Anolis sagrei: one gene and its partner. The protein of the gene in region 2 interacts with the protein of the main gene of each other region in a biochemical or structural test. Links are inferred from orthologs where the notes say so. Each region holds a gene or a part of one and is shown on either strand. Other genes may lie near its edges. The genes, in order: EPN1 and REPS2.

What was found.
Region 1: the proteins of REPS2 (region 2) and EPN1 form a complex in vitro, tested with the Homo sapiens proteins (3 studies listed by BioGRID and IntAct, with this or other methods). The link is inferred for Anolis sagrei from reciprocal best matches to the Homo sapiens genes REPS2 and EPN1.

What each region holds. Positions count from the first base shown.
Region 1 is NC_090026.1:17,904,028-17,913,113, reverse strand, and holds the start of EPN1 (epsin-1), read right to left. Parts: upstream 3,649-9,086; 5' UTR 2,909-3,648; intron 1-2,908. UniProt on the Homo sapiens protein: Binds to membranes enriched in phosphatidylinositol 4,5-bisphosphate (PtdIns(4,5)P2). Modifies membrane curvature and facilitates the formation of clathrin-coated invaginations. Regulates receptor-mediated endocytosis.
Region 2 is NC_090023.1:90,115,369-90,125,197, forward strand, and holds the start of REPS2 (ralBP1-associated Eps domain-containing protein 2), read right to left. Parts: upstream 3,822-9,829; 5' UTR 3,574-3,821; coding exon 3,376-3,573; intron 1-3,375. UniProt on the Homo sapiens protein: Involved in ligand-dependent receptor mediated endocytosis of the EGF and insulin receptors as part of the Ral signaling pathway. By controlling growth factor receptors endocytosis may regulate cell survival.

The DNA of each region.
Region 1 (9,086 bases), on a different chromosome or scaffold from region 2:
CCAGCCTCACAAACGCGTCTGGTGGGGACGAGGGACAGGGCCTTCTCGATGGTGACCCGCCACTTGTGGAGCTCGGTCCTCAGCGAGATTAGATTGGCGTCCTCCTTCCTTTCCTTTAGGAAAGAGCTGAAATCGTGGTTGTGGAACCAGGCCATGGGCTAACAGACATAATGGCACTTGGACATTGAACTGGACCAGATGATTGTTATAACAATGGAAATGGCTATATGATTGTATAACTAATGTTATTTTTTAAAGTTTTATTGTATATTTATGATTTATATATTGTTGTTCATTGTGATATTGTGGCATCGAATTGTTGCCAGTGTTAGCAGTTCTGAGTCCCCCCTCGGGGGTTGAGAAGGGCAGGGTAGAAATGTTGTAAATAATAAAATAATAATAATAAATCTGCAAGGACATTGCCCAGAGAATTCCTGGATGTTTTGATGTTTTACCATCCTGTGGGGGGCTTCTCTCATGTCGCCGCATAGGGAGCTGGAGTTAACAGAGAGAGCTCAACCCGCTCTTCCCAGATTCAAACCACTGACCTGTAAGTCAGCAGTCCTGCCAGTACAAGGGTTTAACCCACTGTGCCACCAGGGGCTCCTGATCTATATAAATAAAAATGTAATGTTCATTTGTGGGATTAACAGAACTCAAAAACCAGTGGGCCAATTGACACCAAATTTGGACAGCATAGACCTAACAACCCAATGTATGTCCTTCACTCAAAAATGTTTGATTTTGTCATTTGGGAGTTGTAGTTGCTGGGATTTATAGTTCACCTACAATCAAAGAGCATTCTGAACTTCCCCAGTGATGGAATTGAACCAAACTTAGCACATAGAACTCCCATTACCAACAGGAAATACTGGAAGGGTTTGGTGGGCATTGACCTTGAGTTTGGGAGTTGTAGTTCACCTATGCAGTTCACCTATTGTAGCACTATGGACTCAAACAATGATGGAACTGGACCAAACTTGGCACAAATATTCCATATGCCCAAATATGAGCACAGATGGGAGTTTGGGGGAAATAGACCTTGACATTTGGGATTTGTAGTTACTGGGATTTATAGTTCACCTACAATCTAAGAGCATTCTGAACCCCACAAATGAAAGAATTGGGGCAAATGCAAAGATACAGAATTGGGGATGCCTGGCTTGAGAGCAGTACGTGTGAAAAAGATCTTGGAGTCCTCGTGGACAACAAGTTAAACATGAGCCAACAATGTGATGTCGCGGCAAAAAAAGCCAATGGGATTTTAGCCTGCATCAATAGGAGCATAGTGTCTAGATCTAGGGAAGTCATGCTACCCCTCTATTCCGCTTTGGTTAGACCACACCTGGAATATTGTGTCCAATTCTGGGCACCACAATTCAAGAGAGATATTGACAAGCTGGAATGTGTCCAGAGGAGGGCGACTAAAATGATCAAGGGTCTGGAGAACAAGCCCTATGAGGAGCAGCTTAAGGAGCTGGGCATGTTTAGCCTGGAGAAGAGAAGGCTGAGAGGAGACATGATAGCCATGTATAAATATGTGAGAGGAAGCCACAGGGAGGAAGGAGCAAGCTTGTTTTCTGCTTCCTTGGAGACTAGGACACGAAACAATGGCTTCAAACTACAAGAAAGGAGATTCCATCTGAACATGACGAAGAACTTCCTGACTGTGAGAGCCGTTCAGCAGTGGAACTCTCTGCCCCGGAGTGTGGTGGAGGCTCCTTCTTTGGAAGCTTTTAAACAGAGGCTGGATGGCCATCTGTCAGGGGTGATTTGAATGCAATATTCCTGCTTCTTGGCAGGGGGTTGGACTGGATGGCCCATGAGGTCTTTTCCAACTCTTTGATTCTATGATTCTATGAAATTTCCCACACAGAACCCCCATGACCAACAGAAAATACTTAAGGCCATCCAGTCCAACTCTCTTCACCAGGGCAAGAAAATGTAGTCAAAGCCCTCCTGACAAAGAGCCATAAAGAAATTACATATATTAGAATTTATTTATTTATTTCTGTTGCTTCTACCCCGCCCTTCTCACCGGGGGGGGGGGGGGGGGACACTCAGGGCGGCTTACAAAAGCAAGGCACAATTCGATGCCCGCATCACATAACAGCAAAAGACAATAATATCAGTTAACAGAAACAGCAATCCTGGCAATAACAACAATTAACAGAAAACAATAGTTATTATAGGCAAAAACAACCATAAAACCAATAAAAGCAATAAAACCAATACAAACCTCATTGACGGTCAGCGTTTCACAATCTCATAGTTCAAATTCCAATTCCACAATTGTCAGTCCTATCAGTCCTATCCATCTGGCTGTCCATATCTAATTGTCAGATTGCCCAAAGGCCTGGTCCCACAACCACGTCTTTACCTTCCTCCTGAAGAAGAGGAGGGATGTTGATGCCCTAATTTCCCCCGGGAGTGAGTTCCACAGGTGAGGGGCCACCACTGAGAAGGCCCTGCTCCTCGCCCCCACCAGCCCCACCAGCCTCACTTGGGATAGCGGTGGGGTAGAGAGCAGGGCCTCCCCAGATGATCTCAAATTCCGGGGTGGGACGTAGAGGGAGATACGTTCGGACAGATAGACTGGACCGGAACCGTAAAGGGTTTTGTAGGTCAAAACCAGCACCCTGAATTGTGCTCGGAATTGAACCGGCAGTAATGAGAAACCAACACTTTCTCATTAATTTATTTTCCAGATCACCAGACTGGGCCACAGCAACGCGGGGCAGGGGACGGCTAGTAGTAAATAAAATGTATTACTATTTCCCAGATTGTGGTCATTTCTTGTTATGTTCACACAGCAGAGTAATGTGTCGCAACACACAGCTTGGAAAGCTCCGGCCTGTGGTATGATTCCCTCCCACATCTTTCCCCATTCGTTTCAAACCCCACTCACCTGGATAATGGGATCTCGGTGCCCCTTTTCTGGCAGGGTGGCCTCCTCTCTTCTGCCTCAGCCTCCCTGCTTCCCCCAACCAGGGGGCATCGCCAGAGCTTCTTGGGGAAAAGCGTGGGAATCTTGGCAAAACGAATAGGGCACGGCTAGGCCTTGATGAGGATGTGGAACTGCTAAAAGATATTCAGGAGTGGAATCTGGGAGAGAAACCAGAAGGATAGAGGGATCCAATATGTCTTTGAGGGGGATGAAGAGGAAAGGAAATTAAGGGCCAATAAGACATTCAGGGGAGAGAAAACAGAGGGGTGATAGGTTGCCTTGGAAAGGAATTAAGGGCATGGAAGGGGGAGAGGCTGAGTTCAAAGGTGGCAGGAATCATAGAATCAAAAGAGAGACTGGGAAGTCAGAGGTCGCTCCAGGGTGAGGCCTTAAGGGCAAAGGTCAGGGAAAGAAGAGGATTCCAGGCGGAGAAGGCAAGCAGCAGGCGAGAGGAGAGGCGAGTCCCGCTCCGTCCCTTCAGGGGAGCCTCGGCCTTGAGGAGAACTCCGCCCCGGCCTTCTCCGTCGCCTTGGCAATGCGGGGGCAGGAAGAGAAGGGGGGGGGGCTCTCGGTACAGGAAGCGCCGCTCTGCCCGCCCTCACTCTATGGCCTTCCCGGAGGGTAGCGGAGGCGGCTGGATGCGGCGGTCGCGCCGGCAGAGCTTTCCCCGCAGGACGGAACCGGAAGCCAGAGGCGCCCGCAACTTCCGCCTCCAGGTTGCGCCCATTTCCGCCCGCACCCTTCTCGGGGCGACCGCTCTGTTCGGCCATAGAGAGAAAAAGAGAGAGGTCGTCTTGAGAGCGGTGGCTGCCCTCCTATTGCGTTTCGGACTCCAGCTCCCAGAGTTCCTGGTACTTGCCAAAAGGGCTGGGGCTTCTGGGAGTTGAAGTCCTCAAACGCTGAAGGGTGGAAGGAGCCACTGTTAAAGGGGAATGGTGATGGAATCAAAGAAGTGAGGAGGAAAATGAGAGGAACAGAAAGGAGGCGGATCATCTAGATCAGGCATAGAATCAAAGAGTTGGAAGAGACCTCATGGGCCATCCAGTCCAACCCCCTGCCAAGAAGCAGGAATATTGCATTCAAATCACCCCTGACAGATGGCCATCCAGCCTCTGTTGAAAAGCTTCTAAAGAAGGAGCCTCCACCACACTCCGAGGCAGAGAGTTCCACTGCTGAACGGCTCCCACAGTCAGGAAGTTCTTCCTCATGTTCAGATGGAATCTCTTTTCAAGTTGGAAGAGACCTCATGGGCCATCCAGTCCAACCCCATTCTGCCAAGAAGCAGGAATATTGCATTCAAATCATCCCTGACAGATGGCCATCCAGCCTCTGTTTCAAAGCTTCCAAAGAAGGAGCCTCCACCACACTCCGGGGCAGAGAGTTCCACTGCTGAACGGCTCTCACAGTCAGGAAGTTCTTCCTCATGTTCATGGGCAAGCTTGGGCCCTCCAGGTGTTTTGGACTTCAACTCCCACAATTCCTAAGAGCTTTCATTGCACCACTGCTGCAGGACGATGATTTGTACTACTACTACTACTATTATGATTATTGGGTTGTTGTAGGTTTTTGCAGACTATATGGCCATGTTCTAGAGGCATTTTCTCCTGACGTTTCGCCTGCATCTATGGCAAGCATCCTCAAAGGTAGTGAGGTGAACCAAAAAACTGCCAGGCCATCAAATTGCTAATCAAGGTGGTCAGTTGAAACATTCACACCTAGCTCCAGCAGACAATAGTCCTTTGTCCCATCCTGGTCATTCCACAGATATTTGTTGTTGTTCATTCAGTCGTCTCCGACTCTTCGTGACCTCACGGACCAGCCCACGCCAGAGCTCCCTGTCGGCCGTCACCACACCCAGCTCCTTCAAGGTCAGTCCAGTCACTTCAAGGATGCCATCCATCTATCTTGCCCTTGGTCAGCCCCTCTTCCTTTTACCTTCCACTTTCCCCAGCATAATTGTCTTCTCTAGGCTTTGCTGTCTCCTCATGATGTGGCTTCAACTTTGTCTCTAGTCTCCTTCCTTCCAATGAGCAGTCAGGCCCTATTTCCTGGAGCATGGACTGGTTGGATCTTCTCGCAGTCCAAGGCACTCTCAGAACTTTCCTCCAACACCACAGCTCAAAAGCATCGATCTTCCTTCGCTCAGCCTTCCCTAAGGTCCAGCTCTCACATCCGTAGGTGACTACAGGGAATACTATGGCTTTGACTAGGCAGATCTTTGTTGCCAGTGTGATGTCTCTACTCTTTACTATTTTATCGAGAATGGACATTGCTCTCCTCCCAAGAAGTAAGCGTCTTCTGATTTCCTGGCCACAGTCTGCATCTGCAGTAATCTTTGCACCTAGAAATACAGTCTGTCACGGCCTCCACGTTTTCTCCCTCTATTTTCCAGTTGTCAATCATTATTGTTGCCATAATCTTGGTTTTTTTGATGTTTAGATCCTTTCCACAGATATATAAACCCAATTTTCCTAGTTCCAACAGACTGGATGCTTGCCATAGATGCAGGCAAAATGTCAGGAGAAAATGCCTCTAGAACATGGTCATATAGCCCGAAAAAACCTACAACAACCCAGTGATTCCGGCCATGAAAGCCTTCGACAATACATTATGATTATTGTTTTACTGACACAAAAACACTATGAAACAGCAAACGAGATATATATGCTGGATTTCGTATCACAAAATCACAAGTCGAACACTTCCCAAGCATTTATTATTGTTGTTTTTGTTATTATTATTATGATTATTTGATGCATAACAAGATTAGTATACAGCAAACAAGATCACTATGCTGGCTTTTGTATTTCATAGAATCATAGAGTTAGAAGAGACCTCATGGGCCATTCAGTCCAACCCCCTGCCAAGAAGCAGGAATATTGCATTCAAAGCACCCCTGACAGATGGCCATCCAGCCTCTGTTTAAAACCTTCCAAAGAAGGAGCCTCCACCACCCTCCGGGGCAGAAAGTTCCACTGTTGAACGGCTCTCAGAGTCAGGAAGTTTTTCCTTATGTTCAGATGGAATCTCCTTTCTTGTAGTTTGAAGCCATTGTTCCGCATACTAGTCTCCAAGACAGCAGAAAACAAGCTTACTCCCTCCTCCCTGTGACTTCCTTTCACATATTTATACATGGCTATGACATCTCCTCTCAGCCTTCTCTTCTTCAGGCTAAACATGCCCAGCTCCTTAAGACGCTCCTCACAGGGCTTGTTTTCCAGACGCTTGATCATTTTAGTCACCCTCCTCTGGACGCATTCCAGCTTGTCAATATCTCTTGAATTGTGGTGCCCAGAATTGGACGCAATATTCCAGGTGTGGACTAACCAAGGCAGAATAGAGGGGTAGCATGACTTCCCTAGATCTAGACACTACACTCCTATTGATGCAGGCCAAAATCCCTTTGGCCTTTTTTGCCGCCACATCACATTGTTGGCTATTTGATCAGGTCAACAACATCCCTCCTCACCTTTAGGAGGAAATTGAAAACCTGATTATGGGAGCAGGCCTTTGGGCAACTGGCAGATAATTGACAATGGTAATAATGTTATGGAAAATGGACTATGGACAGGCTCTCGATTGTTTCGTGCTTTTCATTAATTTATTTTAAAACTAATTTACTGTGTTTTCATATATATTACACAATCATGAGGTCAGGGGTATTGTGCTCCAAAACTCAGTCTGAATTTGGAAGTCTCCGAGTAATTTGACATGTTCATTTTCTGTAACCTTTTCAGGCTTGCGATCCCACCAGTTCATTGTCACAGGTAGATGGTACAGTATTTGTGACACAAGTTCCAATGGATCATCTGAGCAACATGTTATACCTTTTCCAGAGGTGTGCATCAGTGATGTACAGATTCTGTAGCCACCTGAATGTTTTGGGAATCTCAAAATGAATTAGTGCTGTAAGAGACTTGTTATTTTACCTCAATCTATCTTACTGCATTGCAGTGAGGTCAAAATTGGGAAAGGAGCAAAAAGGGAACCATGTGTTCTGAACTTAATTTTGAGGAATATGTAATAAATACATCACACAACCCAAAGTATTTTCTGTTAATGAAAGTAAAGGATTTTCTGTCCAGACAAGCTGATAGCTAGCTCAGTGTTTATTTCATGGCTTTAGGAACTTTAATACTGTAACTTGACTGTAATGTTACTTCAAAGGCAATAGTCTTATATGGAGAAAAATCCCCATAAGTAATATAATTTACTGGTTTCCAGCCAGCTCTCCATTCTGAATTCTTGTTTTTGATCCCCCCGCCATAAACATATAATCTGTGGAAATACTTCATTTCAAGCACAATTAAAGCAATAGCCTCACATGGCTTTCCTTGTAGCAGAAAGACTTACTTTGGTAACTGTAAAATCCATTGAGCTGAATTTGCCCACTGAAAATTTTAGTATCTTTGTCATGTACATAAAAAATATACTTAGAAGACAAGGGACTTTCCCATAGCCCTGCATCCATTATGTGTATGCCTAAAAGAAAGTCTAAGTTGAGGTAAGGCACTAAAAAGCAAAAATAGCAGCGACATAAATTCCATTAACAACTTAAAACAGGCTTGCGTATTTTGGAGCTAATGTGCGTTACTTCAGGATGATAATGTTAGACATAACCATTTTTGAACACTCTCCTTCAAGCTGTTTGAAAGATATCCTACTTTCTAGCTTTACTCAGACAGCTTCCATGTATTCTGGAGATATATTAAAAGCTTTTAGACCAGCTCTTTCTGGGCCAAGTGTCAAGTTTTAGGCTGCAATCCTACATATATTTACTTAGCATTATACCTCATTAATCACAATAGGCCTTAAAATGCAAGTAAATGCACCCAGAATCAAGCTACAAGATAAATTCTTCAAAGATCATCACCCTTAGACAAGGCAGCGTTTTTTTTTTTAATCCCCAAGCAAATTATACTGGTAGGACTTCATGTACTTTGGTAAAGAAGTTGGGATTCAGTAGTAAAGGAACCAAAAATTCTGCAAGGAAAGATGAATTATGCAAACCAAATCCAAATTGCTGTTAGCAAAGGCAAAGACACCAGCCAGGATTTGAGAAAGGAGTGGCAGTAAATGGGAAGACATCAAAGTTGACAGCAGTGGCCTTAGGAACAATGTTTTATTTTGGGACAGCCAACTTTCTACACCAGTGCTACACCACCTTTCTATGCCAGTGTGGATGATGGGCAGTTGTTTTGTCATCCATAGTGCCAGACTGGTACCACAATTGTGGCTATTAGTTAAAGTTATTCCTTTATTTTCTGGAAAGGAATAGCCGCTGGTGGCTCACAAACTGGCACTGTTTCAGAGATCACTCTGGAGATCTCCCTGAAAGGCAGCTCAGGAACATTAGTCACTTTCTCCTAATCATTATTAGAACGGGTAGAAGGTGCAAGTAATAGCAAAACAAACTATTATGTTAGTGCAGTGCGCCAACAGAATTCTGGCCTAAATAAACAAGGCAAAGCAATTGATGGTTGTAATATGCATAGGTTTCTGCTGTTGCTGCTCTAGTCATGGATAAGGGCCAGTACTGCCACGTGAATGCTACAATTCTTTTTTGCACAATTTTCTAGGGTTCTATGTTGTGGTATGATTTGCCCCCAGTTTTGAGCATGCCTTTGAAGCTACAATGGGTGATACAATATAATTCAATTGAATTATGTTTTATTTGTGTATTCTGAATAAACATAGTCCTGTGCCCCCTGGTGGTGCAGTGGGTTAAACCACTGAGCTGCTGAACTTGCTGACCCAACCTAGCAGCTCAAAAACATGCAAAATGTGAGTAGATCAATAGGTACCGCTTCTGAGGGAAGGTAACAGCACTCCATGTAGTCATGCGGGCCACATGACCTTGGAGGTGTCTATGGACAACGCTGGCTCTTCAACTTAGAAATGGAGATGAGCACTACCCCCCCTCCCGCCCCCGCTCAGAGTTGGACATAACTAGACTTAATGTCAGGGGAAACCTTTACCTTTACCTATGTATTTATATTCTACTCTGCCCAGAATGACAAACAACTTGATTTCTGCCGTGAGATGCTGTGACCCACAAGCAAAGTTGATAAAAATGTAAAGGTTATTCATAAAGTGGTACAGACTCAGGGATAGAAATATCATCTGAGACAAGGAGGAT
Region 2 (9,829 bases):
TCTTATTTTGGTCTTTTAAGAGAAATAATCTCATTGCAGTCCACAATGTAAAATACAGGTATGCTTTGTTGTTCTGCTCTTATTGTTGTTGCATATTATTTGGGGGCTTAAAATTTTGTTTCCAGCTACTAATTTTTCACATCAGGATTTTGTCTCTTCACCTGAGTTTCTTGTCCAAGAAGTTATGCAGGATGTAAAGCTGTCGTAAAGCATATAGGTTTGCAAATTTACAACCTCAAAACTTGTTTCTATAACTGAAAGAGATATGATTCTAACTTTTAGTTTAGAGATCAGTGTTTCAAACAAGGGTCTAGGAATTCTCCATAACCATTAAATAGAATGCATGAAACTTCCTAAGTTATGCATTCCAAGAGAAGAGCATGGACAATTTCTAACAGAAAAAACCCCCAACCACCTTTCTTTGCTGCCACTGTAGTAGGAAATGTTAGTGTTATAGGTTGGACACCCCTCACCCAGATTTCTGAAATCCAAATTCCCCCAAAATCCAAAATTGTACACATGGGTGGCTGAGATAGTGGCACTTTAGTATTCTGATGGATCAAGGAACCCCAGTGGCGCAATAGGTTAAACCCTTGTGCCCACAACATTGAATCCGGGGAGTGGGGTGAGCTCCCATCTGTCAACTCCAGCTTCCCATGTGGGGACATGAGAGAAGCCTCCCACAGAATGGTAAAACATCAATCATCCGGGCATCCCCTGGGCAATGTCCTTGCAGACAGCCAATTCTCTCACACCAGAAGTGACTTTGCAGTATATTCTCAATTTGCTTCTGACACGATTAAAACTATGTACACAAACCTGATTTCATGCACAAAATTATTTAAAGTACAGTATAAAATTACATTCAGGCAACATGTCTAGGCTATATTTGAAGCATAAATTAGTTTCGTATTTAGACTTGGGTTCCACTGCCTAGCTATTTCATTATGCGTGTAATCGTATATGCAAATACAGGGATTCCAAAATCCAGTAAAACCTGAAATCAAAATACTTCAGGTCCGAAGCACTTTAGAGAAGGGAGATTCAACCTGAATAGATATATTTATTTCAAAATCCGAAACCCAAACACTCCTAGTCTCATGTATTTAGGAGAAGGAGGACTCAGGGACCAATATAACCCAACAACAATATAACCCAGAATATCAAAGCAGAAAATCCCACATTATCTAAGTGTGGATTCAGATAACCCAGTTCAAAGCAGATATTGTGGGATTTCCTGCCTTGATATACTAGGATATAGGGCTGTGTGGAAGGGCCCTGAGTCCACATAACCATATATCCCAGTTCAAAGCAGAAAATATAGGGTTTATTCAGCTGTATGGGAGGGCACTCAATCTGTATGGCTATATACTCCAAAATCGGAAATCCAAAACACGTAGGGAAAAGAGAGACTCAACCAGAACATATTCCAAAAATGTGAATCCAAAACACCTTCTAGTCCCAAACATTTTGGAGAAGGGAGACTCAACTTGTAGATGTATATATTCCAAAATCCAAAACACTTCTGATTACAAGCATTTCAGAACAGGGAAACACAACTTGAATACATATATTCTAACATCCAAGATGCTTCAGGTCCAAATTATTTCAGAGATGGGAGACTCTGCCTCAGGCCTGGGCAAACTTGGGCCCTCTGGGTGTTTTGAACTTCAACTCCCACCATTCCTAACAACCTCAGGCCCTTTCCTTTCCCCCCTCAGCTGCTTAAGTGGCCGAGGGGGGAAAGGAAGGGGCCTGAGGCTGTTAGGAATGGTGGGAGTTGAAGTCCAAACACCCGGAGGGCCCAAGTTTGCCCAGGCCTGCTCTACCTTTATTGATGTTCAAAAGGTAATGAATCCCCTTTTCAAAAGAGAAAACACTCAAGGGAAGGAAAAAGGCTTTCAGAACATAGAGGGAATTCATCCAGCTTATTTATTTTCATCCAAATCTCAATTGGAGCTACTTTTTCTGTCCAAAGAGAACTCATTTAGGGCCCTTCCACGCAGCCCTATATCCTACAATATCAAGGCAGAAAATCCCACAATATCTGGTTTGAGCTGGGTTATCTGAATCCACACTCAAATAATGTGGGATTTTTCTGCCTTGATATTCTGGGATATAGGGCGGTGTGGAATGGCCCTTAGAAGGTGCCTCTCTATACACTAATGCAGTTTGACACTCCTTTCACTGCTATGGCTCAAACCTGCAGGAATCGTGGAAGTTGCAGTTGAGTGAGGGAACTCCAAGGATTCCAGAGCATTGAGCCATAGAGGTCCAAGCACCCTTCCACACAGCCCTATATCCCAGAATATCAAGACAGAAAATACCATAATATGCTTTGAACTGGGTTATCTGAGTCCACACTCAGATAATGTGGGATTTTCTGCCTTGATGTTCTGGGATACAGGGCTGTGTGGAAGGGCCCCATGTGGTACTAAGAGCCCCCGGTGGTGCAGTGGGTTAAAACCCTTGTGCAGGCAGGACTGAAGACCGAAAGGTCGCAGGTTCGAATCTGGGGAGAATGTGGATGAGCTCCCTCTGCCAACTCCAGCTCCCCATTTGGGGACATGAGAGAAGCCTCCCACAAAGATGGTAAAACATCTGGGCGTCCCCTGGGTAATGTCCTTGCAGACAGCCAATTCTCTCACACCAGAAGCGAATTGCAGTTCGTCAAGTGCTTGTCCATTATGCCCTGCCTCATGTACATAGGATGAATTGTTGGAGGCTACAGACAATGCCGTTGCTGTTGCCCGTTTTTGGTCAAAAGACATTTAGATGCCTGCACACTTTCTATTTTATCTGTTTCATACTAATTCATGCAATACGATACGAAATAAATAAATAAAGTGGCACCTGGCATGAAAAACAATTCTACAGTTTATTTATTTATTTATTTGTCACAATTTTCTCCCGCCCTTTTCAGCCCAAAGACGACTCAGGGCGGCGTACAGACTGGCAACAATTAGATGCCGAACACACATAAATACACCATTTAAAACAGGTTAAATCACGTAATAAAATTAATTTTAAAACAATTTAAAACTATTAGAATCAATGACTTCTGGGTTGAAATCCATGTCCATTTGCATCGTTAAGCCGTTCCATATTCGTTCACAATACTGGGTTTATCTGGTGTAGAACAGGCATGGGCAAACTTCAGCCCTCCCTCCAGGTGTTTTGGACTTCAACTCCCACCATCCCTAAGAGCCTCGCTTAAGGGTCTGAGGGGGGAAAGGAAGGGCCTGAGGCTGTTAGGGATGGTGGAAGTCCAAAGCACCTGGAGGGAAGGCTAACATGCGCCCATGCCTGGTGTGGATGCCCTGGGGGGGGGGGGGGGGTGCGCTCTGCACATGTCCAGGAGCACTCTTGCCTCACCTGGAGGAGGGCCTCGGGAGGGAGCTGCGACGCCCGGAACAGCTCGGCCACCTTGCTGCCGGAGGCGCCTGCCTCGGAGCCCGCGGCGTTCCCGCTGCCGCCTCCGCCGCAAAGGCAGAAGAGCTCCGCGTAGCGCTGCTGCTGCTGCTGCTCCCCGGAGGAGGAGGAGGAGGAGGAGGAGGAGGAGGGGGCCTCCATTGCAGGGGCAACGGCGCCCCCAAGTCCTGCCCAAGAGGCTCCGCCGCCGCCGCCGCCTCTGCAGCCGCGCTCGCCTCCTCTCCCTCCGCTGTCCTCCCTTTCTGCGGCAAAAACAGCGGGAGGGAGGCGGCAAGGCAGCAGCAGCAGCTGCAGGAAGAGAGAAGGAGAAGAGGAAGAGGAGGAAAAGGGGGAAGGAAGGAAGGAAGGAAGGAGGAGGGGAAGGAGGCTCCCTTCCCCGAGGCACGTGCCTCCACTTCCTCCTCCTCCTCCTCCTCCTCCTCCTCCTCCTCTTCTCCCACTTCGTCCTCCCTGGACTCCGCAGAGGAAGGCTCAAGTTTTGGAGCAGGGAAGCTTGCGTGGCTCAAAGGCTAGGGCAGGGTCTTCCACCCTTCCTCATGTTGTGGTGACCCCCCCCCCCCCAACCATCCGTAATAACATTATTTTGGTTGCTCCTTCATAACTCATTTTGCTACTGTTAGGAATCCTTATGTAAATAGCTGATCTGCAGGATGGATTTTCATAAACTAATATGCTTCCTCCTGTTGTGGTGATCCCCAACCACAACATTATTTTCCTTGCTATTTCATAACACTAATTTTGCTACTTTGATATGAATTGTAATGTAAATATCTGATATGCAGGATGGATTTTCATTTGCTGGACCAAACTGGGCACAAATACCCGATACGTCCACATTTGAATACTGGTGGGATGGGGGGGGGGGGAGGATTGATTTTGTCCTTTGGAAGTTGTAGTTGCTGGGAATTATAGTTCACCTACAATCAAAGAGCATTCTGAACACCAACAATGGAATTGAACCAAACTTGGCACGCAGAACTCTCTTGACCAACAGAAAATACTGGAAGGGCTTGGTGAGCATTGAGCTTGAGTTTTGGAGTTGTAGTTCACCTACAAGGAGCCCCCAGTGGTGCAGTGGGTTAAACCCCTGTGCTGGCAGGACTGAAGACCGACAGGTCGCAGGTTCGAATCTGGGGAGAGCGCAGATGAGCTCCCTCTATCAGCTCTAGCTCTTCATGCGGGGACATGAGAGCAGTCTCCCACAAGGATGGTAAAAACATCAAAACATCCGGCATCCCCTGGGCAATGGCTAATTCTTTCACACCAGAAACGACTTGCACTTTCTCAAGTCGCTCCTGACACGACAAAAAAAAAAAGTTCACCTACACACTGTATAATCCAACAATGATGGATCTGGACCAAACTTGACACAAATACTCAATAATATGCCCAAATCTGAACACTGATGGAGTTTGGAGGAAATAGACCTTGCCATTTGGGAGCTGTAATTGCTGGGATTTATAGTTCACCTACAATCAAAGAGCATTCTGAACCCCACCAATAATGGAATTGAAACAAACTTGGCACTCAGAACTCCCTTGACCAACAGAAAATACTGGAAGGGTTTGCTGGGCATTGAGCTTGAGTTCTGGAGTTGTAGTTCACCTACATCCAGAAAACACTGTGGACTCCAGCAATGATGGACCAAACTTGGCACAAATACTCAATATGCCCAAATGTGAACAATGGTCGAGTTTGCTGTAAATAGATCTTAACATTTGGGAGTTGTAGTTGCTGGGATTTATAGTTCACCTACAGTCAAAGAGCATTCTGAATCCTACCAACGATAGCATTGAGTTAAACTTCCCACACAGAATCCCCATGTCTTGAAGGGACTCACTGGTGTGAGCCTCCCTCCAGCCTCACACGCTCTCCCTCATCCACACATGTGCACCAAGCTGCCATTGAGAATGTCTGCTGTTCCCTCCCCACTTGGAGTCTTAGTAACAGCCCTCCCCTTGGCTGAGAGGCCTTGAAGGGACACACTGGCACAAGCCTCCCTCCAGACTCACATGCTCCATTGCCTGCATATGTGTGCCACACAGCCATGCACCAGGCACGCCTGCTCTCCCCTCCCCCCCCCCCTTGGAGTCTCAGAAACAGCCCTCTCCTTGACTAAGAGGCTGCCTGAGAGGCCAGCCAATCACAGGGGAGGAGAGTTTTTGGTGGGAGGATTTGCCATCTGTTTTCCAAAAAGGAAGAGAAGGACACTGGAGAGATCTTCATCTTTCACTGCCAAAAGGGTTCCTAAGGCCATCAGAAATATATGTTTTATGATGGTCTTTGGTGATCCCTCTGAAACCCCCTTGGGACCCCTAGGTTGAGAAACGCTGGGCTGGGGAATCCTGAGAAGGCGAAAAGACGGGTGCATCTGCACTCTAGAATGAAGACAGCTTGATAGCACTTTTAACTTCTATGGCTCCCCATGGAGACCCAAGAGTTGCAGCTTTGGTGGGGCGCTATGTGGCAGGAAAGGCTAAAGAGTTGGTTAAATGACAGCTCCCACAATTTAGTTGTATTGAGCCATGCTAGTTTGGCATCAAAGTGCAGTAATTCTACAATCTAGATGCAGCACGTTTGTTCCGGCAAACTTGGGCCCTCTAGGTGTTTTGGACTCCAATTCCCACAATTCCTAATAGCCCCAGGTGATATAGTATTATCTAAAGCAGTAGTTCTCAACCCGTGGGTCCCCAGGTATTTTGGCTTACAACTCCCAGAAATCCCAGTCAGTTTACCAGCTGTTGGGGATTTTTGGGAGTTGAAGGCCAAAACATCTGGGGATCCACAGGTTGAGAACCACTGGTATAGACTGAGGGAATCCCTTTCCCCTGGCTCCTGAATGACAGATGGAATGTGTCTATTGGTTATCTTCTCCCTCTTTCTGCTCTCATTCTGATTGGCTATGTAGAATGGATACTTTACAGGTGCATGCCTTTGTTTCATACTTCTGCTTTTTTACATCTGTGTATTGACACCTTTCTCTGCTTGGGTGTGTCAGGAGAGATGTAGTACTTGGAGATTTCCCCCTCTCTTGTGAACCCTAGAAAAGATGGAGTGGCTGAGACCCAGTTATTTACTATTAAAAATGTAGTTATTATTTTTGTAAATAAAACTTGTGTAACTTTAAAAATTGAACTCTGCAACTTTGAATCCTAAACACTAAATTCTTTTCTGACTACAACACTTCACACTCTGTCTGCTGTGAGCTGAATGCTCAAACTATAAGTATCATGTTTGTAGTTTTGAATGCTCTGCTGTATTTTTGGGAGTTGTCCCTAACAACTAGAAGGCACATACATTATGACCCACCATCTATGCAGGGGATATGTTCCTAGACTTCATTTCAATACATGAAACTGTGGATATTAACAAACGCCATTGTTTTTAATGGGACGAATGAAGGTTATACTGAGAAGAGGGTGTAGCTTGTATAGGAGCTCAAAGAGGGTCTGTGATTCTAAGTTAATAATGGAATGATAGGTTCTGAAAATATGGTGTTGTACATACACACAGAGAGAGAGATTTCAGAAATCTGGCATGAGGCATGCACCAAACCCATTATAGTACAGTATCCATGGGGGATATGTTCCCAGTGTGTATGGATATGCAAAACAGCAGATAATAGCAAACCCTATTAAAATAAAGGACTCAAGAATACTATAGAGTCGTAGGACCTAGAAAATGTCTAGAATTTACATTTTCTTGCACAGTGATCCAACAGATATGAAGGTCATACTGTCTTTGCTTTAGATCAACCTGTTTGGAAGGTTATTCAATTCACACACAAATCTACATCTCAATTTGGAAATCCAAAGAAATGGATTTAGACACAAGAAATGGGTGTAATTTTTTTTTTCTTCGTGGTCTCTGCGAATTCACACTTGTGGAGAGACTGCGCCTGCGCGGGCTCCAACGGAAACTTCTACATTTTAAAACTTTCAAGTTTTGGCGGTAACCCCGCCCAGCCCCGGCAGGGGATAAAAGGGCGCCCCGCGCACACCGATCCAATTCCTGTTTTTCCGCCGCACGGCTCGCTTCGGAACTTCGTTGGATAGAGATTCTCAGATTTCTTCGAGTTGTTTGACTATATTATGTCAACAACTCGCTTTAAAAGATGTGTGAATTGCCCGAGGAAGATTCCTGATTCGGACAAGCACACTCTTTGTCTTTTGTGTCTCGGCGAGGCACATATCACTTCTTCGTGTCGTCATTGTCAATCTTTGACGGCACAGTCCCGAAAAAATCGGGTCCATCGGCTTCGATACCTGCTCTACCAGCAGACGTTGGCTCCGGTACCTTCAACATCGACATCGGCGTCGACGTCGGCCGCGGTATCCAGGCCTTCAACTTCGACTTCGGGCTCGAAGTCGAAGGTAGCATCGACATCAAAATCTGTCGATCCCTCGGCGGACGCCGAGCCCCGCCAGACCAGGGAGAAGAAGGCTGCGCAAAAGAGGCCGAGAGCAGCTATGTCGACAACCTCCAAGGCCTCGGTGTCGGTAGCTTCTAAGGCGGCAAAGCCTACAAAGCAGAAGGCTCCATGCACAGTCACAACCGAGACTGTACGCATCCGGCACTCTTCGGCCAGCTCTGTGGCATCAGTGAGATCGATCAGGTCCACGAGGTCGACATCAGCGACTCCGCCATCTTCCACGGCGGTTCGCATTGCCTTTCGCCGGTCTCAAGAGGAGTCTCGGCGTGCTTCCTCTTCCTCCTCCGTCCCACCCACTCCGGGCAAGTCGGTGTCGAAGACGGCTCAACCACCGGCCAAGAAGAAGAAGACGATGCCGCCTCCATCCTCGTCTTCTTCTTCTTCCCGAAAACAGACCACCGCCTCCTCGGCCACCTCGTCGGCGAGATCGTCGCCCGTGCGACCGGTTGCTTCCCAACCGACCCCTCAGCCTACCCAGGAGCCGCAGCCGCTACCAGAACTGCCGTCAGAACAGCCTGACTCCCCGGTGATCTCGGTGGACACGGTGATCGAGGCACCAACTCGACATGTGACAGCCAGACAGGAGCTTTTCCCATCGGTCACGACTTTGACAACTGTGACGGCAAGACAGGAGACTTCTCCAGTGCTGGAGACTCCGGAAAGGGGCAGACAGACTATGAGACTGGCCTTGGCCCGTGCCACTCAGGCTTCGGCCTCAAAAGCCCCTCCAGCGATCCTGGTCCAGCATTCGAGTCGGGATGTCTCTTCATCCCCTCCCCCTCAATCCCTGGTGGCTGATGATGAGGAAGAAGATGGCGAGTTGCCGGGATCGGTACACTCGGGGTCTGTGTTGTCTCTCGGGATCGAGAGATCACCCACTCACGACGCCTATGAGGCTGACCCTCCTTCTCCCACTGACAATGTCCGAGCCTTTGCAGATCAAATGGCTCGTATGGCTGATGCCTTAGGCCTTGAGGTCAAGCAGACTTCCAAGGCAGTGCAAGACCCAGTGTTTAAAAGGGTGCAAGCTGAAACCCCACCCGCTCCTCTGCTGCCCTTCCTTCCATATCTCCTCGAGGTGATCCAGGGCTCCTGGAAGACCCCTTCTTCCATCCCTCCAACCTCCAAGAAAATCGAATCCTGGTACAGGACGGACGATGAGGGATTGGAGTGGCTGAAACACCATCCCGACCCTAACTCGGTGGTCATGAAAGCAGCCCAGGGATTCGGAAGGCAGTCGTCGGCGCCGTCCGACCGTGAGGGCAAAAGGTTCGATGCGGTGGGCAGAAAACTGTACTCCGGTGCCCTCCTGCTGGCCCGCATGGCAAATTATGGCGCTTGCATGGGCGCATACCAACAGATTCTTTGGGAGAAGGCAACACCACTCTTCCAAAGAATGTCTGAGGAGGACCGTTCTGCCCTCTCCACTTTGGCTCAGGAGGCGAACTCTCTGGCGCATCACCAGATGCAAATGGCCAAACACACGGGAGACACCGCGGGCAAGATGATTGCTCACGCTGTGGCAATCAGAAGGCATGCATGGCTCAGATCTTCGGGCCTCTCTACATCATCGAGGCAGGTGATCGAAGACCTCCCGTTCGACGCCCTGGGGCTCTTCAATGCGGGAACGGACGACAAACTGAAGTCAAATCACGACTTCAAGACCTTGGCCTCCAAGTGTGGGATCGAGAATCAAGGCCAGGCGCAGAGGACCAGATGGTTCCAGTACAAGCGCCGACACACGGTCGCGTACCGCACCATTCAATACCGTCAGCCAGCCCGCCCTCTGCACACCTCCCAGCAAACCCACCCTCAGCAACCCCAGCAGCAAAGGGGGCAACACCAGCAGCAGCAACGCTCGCGATCCCGTCAGGCCTCTGGGGGCAACCAAGCTAGGCGCCGCATTTGACGCCCTAATGGACGATACCGTTTGCTCTTCCGTTACCGATGTTGTTCCCATGTCCC